2 linked regions of the Arabidopsis thaliana genome follow. The protein of the gene in region 1 interacts with the protein of each later gene in a pairwise test. Each region holds a gene or a part of one and is shown in the gene's direction. Other genes may lie near its edges.

Region 1 (4,277 bases):
CGAATTTCTTCTAATCAAAAAACGAAGTAGAAATATATATATTCAATAACAATTTTTTGGTTCGTTTTGTCGTGAGTATTCAAATCCATTAACATTTTCAAATAGAGCTTCTAAATAGATATTTCATGTTTTCGTTTAGAACGCATAATACACTACTAGTTTGAAAAAAAAAATACTTACTAGAAAGATGAATTATTAGTTCATTATATACGGCATATAATTCGAATGTACTATGTTTAACTATTTTTAATTTCGAGTACAGTTAGATCATTAATGAGAAGGAGTTATTTCATTTGAAATCATGCGTATAATGATTACAACGAAGCGAAAATGATGAAGGCGCGTGGTAGGCAATGATAAGATGTCGGCGCGTGAGGAAACAAAATAAAACGCACGGCCGGGTCGAGTGTTTTCGGGTCCCTTGTTGTCACGTGACATGACCCACCTGCCCATGTTCTCTCTTGAGCCCAAAACTATTTGAGACATTTTTTAATCATCTTTCGGCAGTTTTAATTTACTTCTTCTTTTTTTTTTTTGTCAACAATAAAGCAAAATGATTCTGATTAGCAGCACTCAGAATATATCTGATTATAGAACACGATCTGAATACTTAAAAATTCTACAAAATTGATGATAAGGGAAGTATGATGATCTATAATAGTTGAAAGTTTAAGAACATGAAATGAAAATAGAGAAACAGTCAGTGAATATTGGATTCATATGTAATACATATGGGTGTTAGTGTAATGATAGATCCCACATCCCACATGGATATGATTGGATCACAACAGGTGACTGGCCCACAACTTTGAATGAGCTCAGATTCATGTGGATTGTGTTTTGTACCAACCACTTGATTTAGTCCTTTTTTTTTCTTCATTATTTCAACAATTAATTGCCAACTATTTCTTCGATATCTGTTCTCATCCGTGTGTGATCTTGACTGATTGAGTTGTTTTTTTTTTCTTTACAAAGGTCACAAGTTCTTGCACCAATGATTGGAAAAATTTGAGGGTTAAATAAAAATGAAAAGAGAAAATGAACTGAAATATTTACTACCACTTTTAGGTGGAGTAAAAAACTAAAGATGTTCACGTTTATTTCTTTACAGTAGAGTAAATATTTTGTAGCATAACTATTAGATTGGCAATTATTCAACTTACCGTAAATACTAAATAAAATTCACTCTAGTAAGCTCATCCAATAACATCTTTATTTTTTTTTTTTGACATGGTCAAAAAGATTAGCAAGTTACAACTCTTAATAATAATTCTATTAATTTTTTTTTTAATAAAGAACTAATGTCTATATATCTCGAAATGATATCAAATTGGCGCAATAATAAAATTCCTCGGATACTATTAAATCAGAAGCTAAGGCTGCTTATATCTAATATATGCAAGACATAACATGAGTCACTTCATATATATGTGAAGGTATATAATTAAAACTTAGAATCATTATTTAGTTGATTAGGCATATAATTTGATGTACTTATTGTCGCTAAATAAATGTCATAATGGATTTGCACCGCATATTATAGAGTTTCTCTTTTCCTAGTCCAAATTTGCAAGAAATAAAGTAGAGATGGAAAATATGAATTTGCATTTTAAATTTACTTTGGATTCCATACATATATAGAAGTACTTTGAGGTTATGGAAAAAGATAGCAAAAGATAGGACTTACTATACAATTTACTAAAATAGTAAAAGAAGAAGAAGGAAAAGATAAAGAAAAAAAAAAAAGAGAAAGGAGAAGACAAAGAGGGAACAAGTTGGGGATATAATAATTGAGTTTCAAAAGGGCATTAATAGATTATAATTGGCCAACCTGACAACATCTCATATCATTCACTTCCTATATTAATCCTCTCTTTCTCTTTTCATTTCCCATTTCACATCTCTCTCTCTCTATAAGAACCCTAGAAGAAGGTTTCTCTTGTCCTCCATACACTTAGCACAACTGATAAATCTTTTGAGGTAAAATCAGCTTTAGATCAAGGTTTTTCTAGTCATCTCTACTCATAAAGATCAAAGCTTTTGCTATTCTCATTTTCTACCAAGAGACAATATCATGATGATGGGTAAAGAGGATTTGGGTTTAAGTCTTAGCTTGGGATTTGCACAAAACCATCCTCTCCAGCTAAATCTTAAACCCACTTCTTCACCAATGTCCAATCTCCAGATGTTTCCATGGAACCAAACCCTTGTTTCTTCCTCAGGTAAGCTTCTTCTTCAACAAAGTCTTGATAACCTTTTTCCACAAGGAAACAACACAGATCCTGAAATAACCCTTTTTCATTTTTCAGATCAACAAAAGCAACAGTTTCTTAGGAAAATCGACGTGAACAGCTTGCCAACAACGGTGGATTTGGAAGAGGAGACAGGAGTTTCGTCTCCAAACAGTACGATCTCGAGCACAGTGAGTGGAAAGAGGAGGAGTACTGAAAGAGAAGGTACCTCCGGTGGTGGTTGCGGAGATGACCTTGACATCACTCTAGATAGATCTTCCTCACGTGGAACCTCCGATGAAGAGGAAGATTACGGAGGTGAGACTTGTAGGAAGAAGCTTAGACTATCCAAAGATCAATCCGCAGTTCTCGAAGACACTTTCAAAGAGCACAATACTCTCAATCCCGTTAGTCATTCATCCATCTCTCGGAGCGTGAAAGTATTATTGTAAATACTCTGTTTTTAACAAGGGCTTTATTGTAAAACTACAGAAACAGAAGCTGGCTTTGGCTAAGAAGCTAGGTTTAACAGCAAGACAAGTGGAAGTGTGGTTCCAAAACAGAAGAGCAAGGTGAGAGAACTAGAGTGCTCATTATTTTTACATATTAGTTGACCATTTTGCCCCTAAAGAGCAATGTTATTTACAATACAACCCATTTTTGTGCCTAATAGGACAAAGTTAAAGCAGACCGAAGTGGATTGCGAGTATTTGAAAAGATGTGTTGAGAAATTAACGGAAGAGAATCGGCGGCTCGAGAAAGAGGCAGCGGAACTAAGAGCATTAAAGCTTTCACCGCGGTTGTATGGTCAGATGAGTCCACCGACCACACTTTTGATGTGTCCATCGTGTGAACGTGTGGCCGGACCATCCTCATCTAACCACAACCAGCGATCTGTCTCATTGAGTCCATGGCTCCAAATGGCCCATGGGTCAACCTTTGATGTGATGCGTCCTAGGTCTTAACTTTAATGCTGCTTCTATGGGTTGTGTGTGGGTCATTGTACTTTTTAGATTATTGACTCTCAGCTAATGTATCCTTAAAAGCCTTTTTCTACTTTTAAATTTACTTTAATCTAATTAAATTAGTTATTCTTGTCTTCTTGATAACAAACAAATTTATAATAATAAAAAAAAAAACAGGATAAAAAAGAACAGTTTTTCTTTTATTTTTTTTTGATAAACCCAGCTCTTCTTAACCAATAACCATTATACATTCTTGACATAATCATGAAGCCATCTTCATTTTACGTTGACATGATCTTTGTATATGCGACCAGGTTAAGTGCCTCATGAGAAAAGCATAAGTTTTTCTATTTTCAAATTTTTCGAGATCTTTTTCATACCCTTCTTTTTTCTTTTACATAAAAATGATATCTCTAATCATCTAAATACTCTAATAGTTTTTTTCATAAACAAAAGTTGAACCGTCAGGTTATTGAAATTTAGACGGTTTGATATTTCTTCCTACCTAGACAAATCCTAAAGGGACCCAGGAATTGTAGTAAGCGAGCGAGAATCTTGATTTTTTAGAATGCTACAATCTTACTGGGTAATAACTCTTAACAGTGTGCAATTAATGGGCCGAATTTACCGGCCCAAATTATGGTGGTGGTTGTCGTCGTCTATTTCACCAGAGAAAGTGAGAAACACATGCATATTTGATCACACCAGCAACTGACCCCATTTTGTCAGTACTTGGTGAAAGTGAAAGTACTGAAAGCAATTTCTTCTCACACAAGTGATGAACATCAAGCTCTTGGGATTATCCTTGCAATCTTTGCTTACAAGTAACGAATGGGGGTCTCAATGAAACCAAACTCTTCACCTTAGCAGGAAAATATCGAAAAAATGTGTTACAACGTAAGCAAGCAACACTGAGTTATGACTTTTCTTTTGCCAATAAATTGAAAGTGTGGATATACAAGTAGACTACTTGCAAAAAATACACTTACATGCACAACCAAGAACATCATTAATTTGATCATGTAATGTGATCAGAACATTACATGATCAAATTAATGAGATGAGAAGCATTTCAACCAAT
Region 2 (3,755 bases), 8.7 Mb from region 1:
TTTTCATATCGGTTCGAAGAATCTTATTTAATTTGATACAAAATAAGTAATCAATAAGAAAATAAGGGAATACATTACGTGGAAATTTTTTGAAATTCACTCATAAAGTTGGAATTAATGGTCTTTTTGGGGGGGGGAAAACGTGGAGGGTAAACGAATATACAAAGTAAGCAAGTAGTATCCGTGTAAAGCTTTTCATATCACCTAACTTTTTTCCATTTTCAATCATTTATGGTGAAAATTTGTGAATATTATAACAAAAAATTATTTAGGTAAATAAAAAATGGCTACTAGTAAGTGTGAAAAAGAATATGGAATGAAATGAGAATGTAATTTAGCTCATGAATCTTTGATTATATTGATTGCAATTCTTAAAACCTTCTCTTCATATTGATACTATGTAATGAATTATCAAAACAGAAAAATAATATATACGAAAACAAAAGTAAATCCATTATCTGAAACGTGTCTACCTCATTTTGTTTTAAACGAAACAATATACTTATCGTAAATAAAATCATTATACAATTTCTCTATTTTCTACAACAATCAAACACAAAAGAATTTTACATAATATTTCGAAGAATATTGGATTTTTAAATGGTTAAAATCTGAAAAGGAACTTGAAAAAAGGTGAAGAAGATCCACTAGCTTCCTTGTGACGCAAACTTTAACCGCCTTTGAGTTCTCACCTCTTTCCATTCTTCTCCAATAGCTTTCTTCACTTTCTCCAATTAATTTTATCTTGCTAACCAAACAACCCCTTAGTTTATTAATTTACAACCCCCCCACCCCACTTTTTACATCTACTTGTATGCGGTATACTCAATAAAAATTTCTGAAAATGGACCACATTAGGACTTGGGAATATTAGTATGACCACCAATATTCTCATGTTTGATATGGCTGCAATTTCTTCTTTTTGTTTGCATGAATATTATTTAGTACTTCAAGTACTGATTCCATGCTTTTTTTTTTTCCTTCTAATTCAACATGAGTAAAATATAAATTATTTTATAAGAAGATATGTTGGCAAAAGAAAAGAAGTGGTAAAGAAGGCAAACTGGCCTTTCAACTTGCGCTAGAATCAACTAATGTCAGTTTTTGGCTCTTACGATTTTTGAAATTATTGCTGAAAAGATTATATTTCGGCGATTTTATTTATTAAATATAGCTCCAAAACTAGAGTCAAAGATCATATGAGAAGTTAAAGAAAATTAATTCCGTCTTTTTGGTGTGTGTGTAACGTGTAAACCTAATTAAACTATAACATGCTCTCTTTTTCAAAAAAAAATATAACACGCTCTTCACATATAACATGAAATCAATATAAATATATCCTTAATAAACACAATAGAAAGTGAAATTGATATTTATAGTTATTGCGAGCTAGTATAGTTATGATTTTTTTTAAAAAATTGAGCTGGGAATTTTTGTAAAATTTAGAACTCTTAGTCTAACCATGATAGATGATTGTTTTGTCACACACGTACACACCATAAAATCGTATTATATTCCCTGGGAACGGCTTAGATCCATGGAATAAAAGATTTTTATCAAGCTGACGAGAAACAAATCGTCAACAGAACAAAAGCATCTAAACAATGTAATTATTAAATTTAACATTCTACTGAAGAAATTTATATATAATTTTAAAATGATAATGATCTCAATGGGCGGCTTAGCTTATGGTGTTATATAAGCAAAGAACTTGGCATCAAGCGAAACCAAAAGCGACAGAAAAAAACAAATATTTAGAAACAAAAAATGCTATAATTCTTCCTTTTTCTTGTTCTTTCAGAGATTTTGATTTCTATTCAATCGACTAAGAGGGTGTGTTTTTAATCCCTCTCTGTTTTAATTTTGTTTCCTAGTCTTTAAAGATCCATGGCAGCCATAGATATGTTCAATAGCAACACAGATCCTTTTCAAGAAGAGCTCATGAAAGCACTTCAACCTTATACCACCAACACTGATTCTTCTTCTCCTACGTATTCAAACACAGTCTTCGGTTTCAATCAAACCACATCTCTCGGTCTAAACCAGCTCACACCTTACCAAATCCACCAAATCCAAAACCAGCTTAACCAGAGACGTAACATAATCTCTCCAAATCTAGCCCCAAAGCCTGTCCCAATGAAGAACATGACCGCTCAGAAACTCTATAGAGGAGTTAGACAAAGGCACTGGGGAAAATGGGTAGCTGAGATCCGTTTACCCAAGAACCGGACCCGACTCTGGCTTGGAACTTTCGACACAGCTGAAGAAGCAGCCATGGCTTATGACCTAGCTGCTTACAAGCTAAGAGGCGAGTTCGCGAGACTTAATTTCCCACAGTTCAGACACGAGGATGGATACTACGGAGGAGGTAGCTGTTTCAATCCTCTTCATTCCTCTGTCGACGCAAAGCTCCAAGAGATTTGTCAGAGCTTGAGAAAAACAGAGGATATTGACCTCCCCTGTTCTGAAACAGAGCTTTTCCCGCCAAAAACAGAGTATCAAGAAAGTGAATATGGGTTCTTGAGATCTGATGAGAATTCGTTTTCAGATGAGTCTCATGTGGAATCTTCTTCGCCGGAATCTGGTATTACTACGTTCTTGGACTTTTCGGATTCTGGATTTGATGAGATTGGGAGTTTCGGGCTGGAGAAGTTTCCTTCTGTGGAGATTGATTGGGATGCGATTAGCAAATTGTCCGAATCTTAAACAAAGCAAAGAGAAGACTTTTTCTTTTAGGAGTTTGTCTTTCAATTTCAGTGTCTTATATTAATCTCTCTGCAACTGAAATTTTTAACAGTTGCGGAGAGAATCGTCTCTAGGGTTTGTTTCTCTTCCTCCATGTTTTGGTCTGACTGGTTTATGTCTTTTTTTTTTTTTTGAACTTTCAAAAACCTTTGTCATTGACCAATCGGAGAAGTTTCCATGTATTCTCTCATCTTTAAATTTCTAATGAAGAATGTAAATTATTAGTCTTTTGCTGATAGTGTTTTTGGTCATTATAAAAATAAGGTTTGCATGCTGATAAAGTATAAAATTCATTTATTAAACAGTTTCAGAGAACTTGCGGAAAGATAATTGATCTCTTCTGTCAAGGATTTTTTAAGAAATTAAACTTAATGTTAATTCTCCTTTTTTATACTTAAATCATTCTTGTAAAATGATTCAAAAAGACATGATGGGAACAAAATTTGGATCGGAAAATAAAATCTAATATGTTTCAACTACAAAGCAAAATATCATTTGACGAAATTTGAAAATGTATTCCTGCCGAGGAAATTCCAAAAAAGAAAAACAAATCAAATAATTATAGAACTTTATTCCGGCGATAATTCAAATAACTTATGCTGCATTTGTGTGTATTGTGGACGATAGAGGTCCGTTGTTGACATATGGGAACACATAAGCCACAAAGTTCGATGCTTTAAGGTAAAGAATCTTACAATAACCAACAATTGTGGCAAAGATTAAAACGTTCATAATATATACACTATACAACTACTTTAAAGTCTGTTTTTTCAAATATTATATTTAGAAAAAAAAATAAACAAAGCAGCCTTAACCAATATTCTGATTCTTTTCTTTCAGTACGTAAAGACAGTGTTCATACTTCCAGAAATTGAAATGGATGTTTTTGGAATTATTATAAAAATAAAAATAAAATTGGAACGTTTGATTCTTTATTCTCTGACTTTCCAATTAGTTGTAGTCTAACGACTCTAGGCCAAGTGCCCAACTATGACAAAACAAAACTAGAT

Evidence for each region.
Region 2: the proteins of HAT1 (region 1) and AT4G39780 interact in a two-hybrid assay, tested with the Arabidopsis thaliana proteins (one large-scale study listed by BioGRID).

Annotation. Positions count from the first base shown.
Region 1 is NC_003075.7:9,737,788-9,742,064, forward strand, and holds HAT1 (Homeobox-leucine zipper protein 4 (HB-4) / HD-ZIP protein), read left to right. Parts: upstream 1-1,730; 5' UTR 1,731-2,074; coding exon 2,075-2,222; intron 2,223-2,309; coding exon 2,310-2,638; intron 2,639-2,723; coding exon 2,724-2,803; intron 2,804-2,904; coding exon 2,905-3,196; 3' UTR 3,197-3,447; downstream 3,448-4,277. UniProt on the Arabidopsis thaliana protein: Probable transcription factor.
Region 2 is NC_003075.7:18,457,167-18,460,921, reverse strand, and holds AT4G39780 (Integrase-type DNA-binding superfamily protein), read left to right. Parts: upstream 1-1,664; 5' UTR 1,665-1,887; coding exon 1,888-2,706; 3' UTR 2,707-3,016; downstream 3,017-3,755.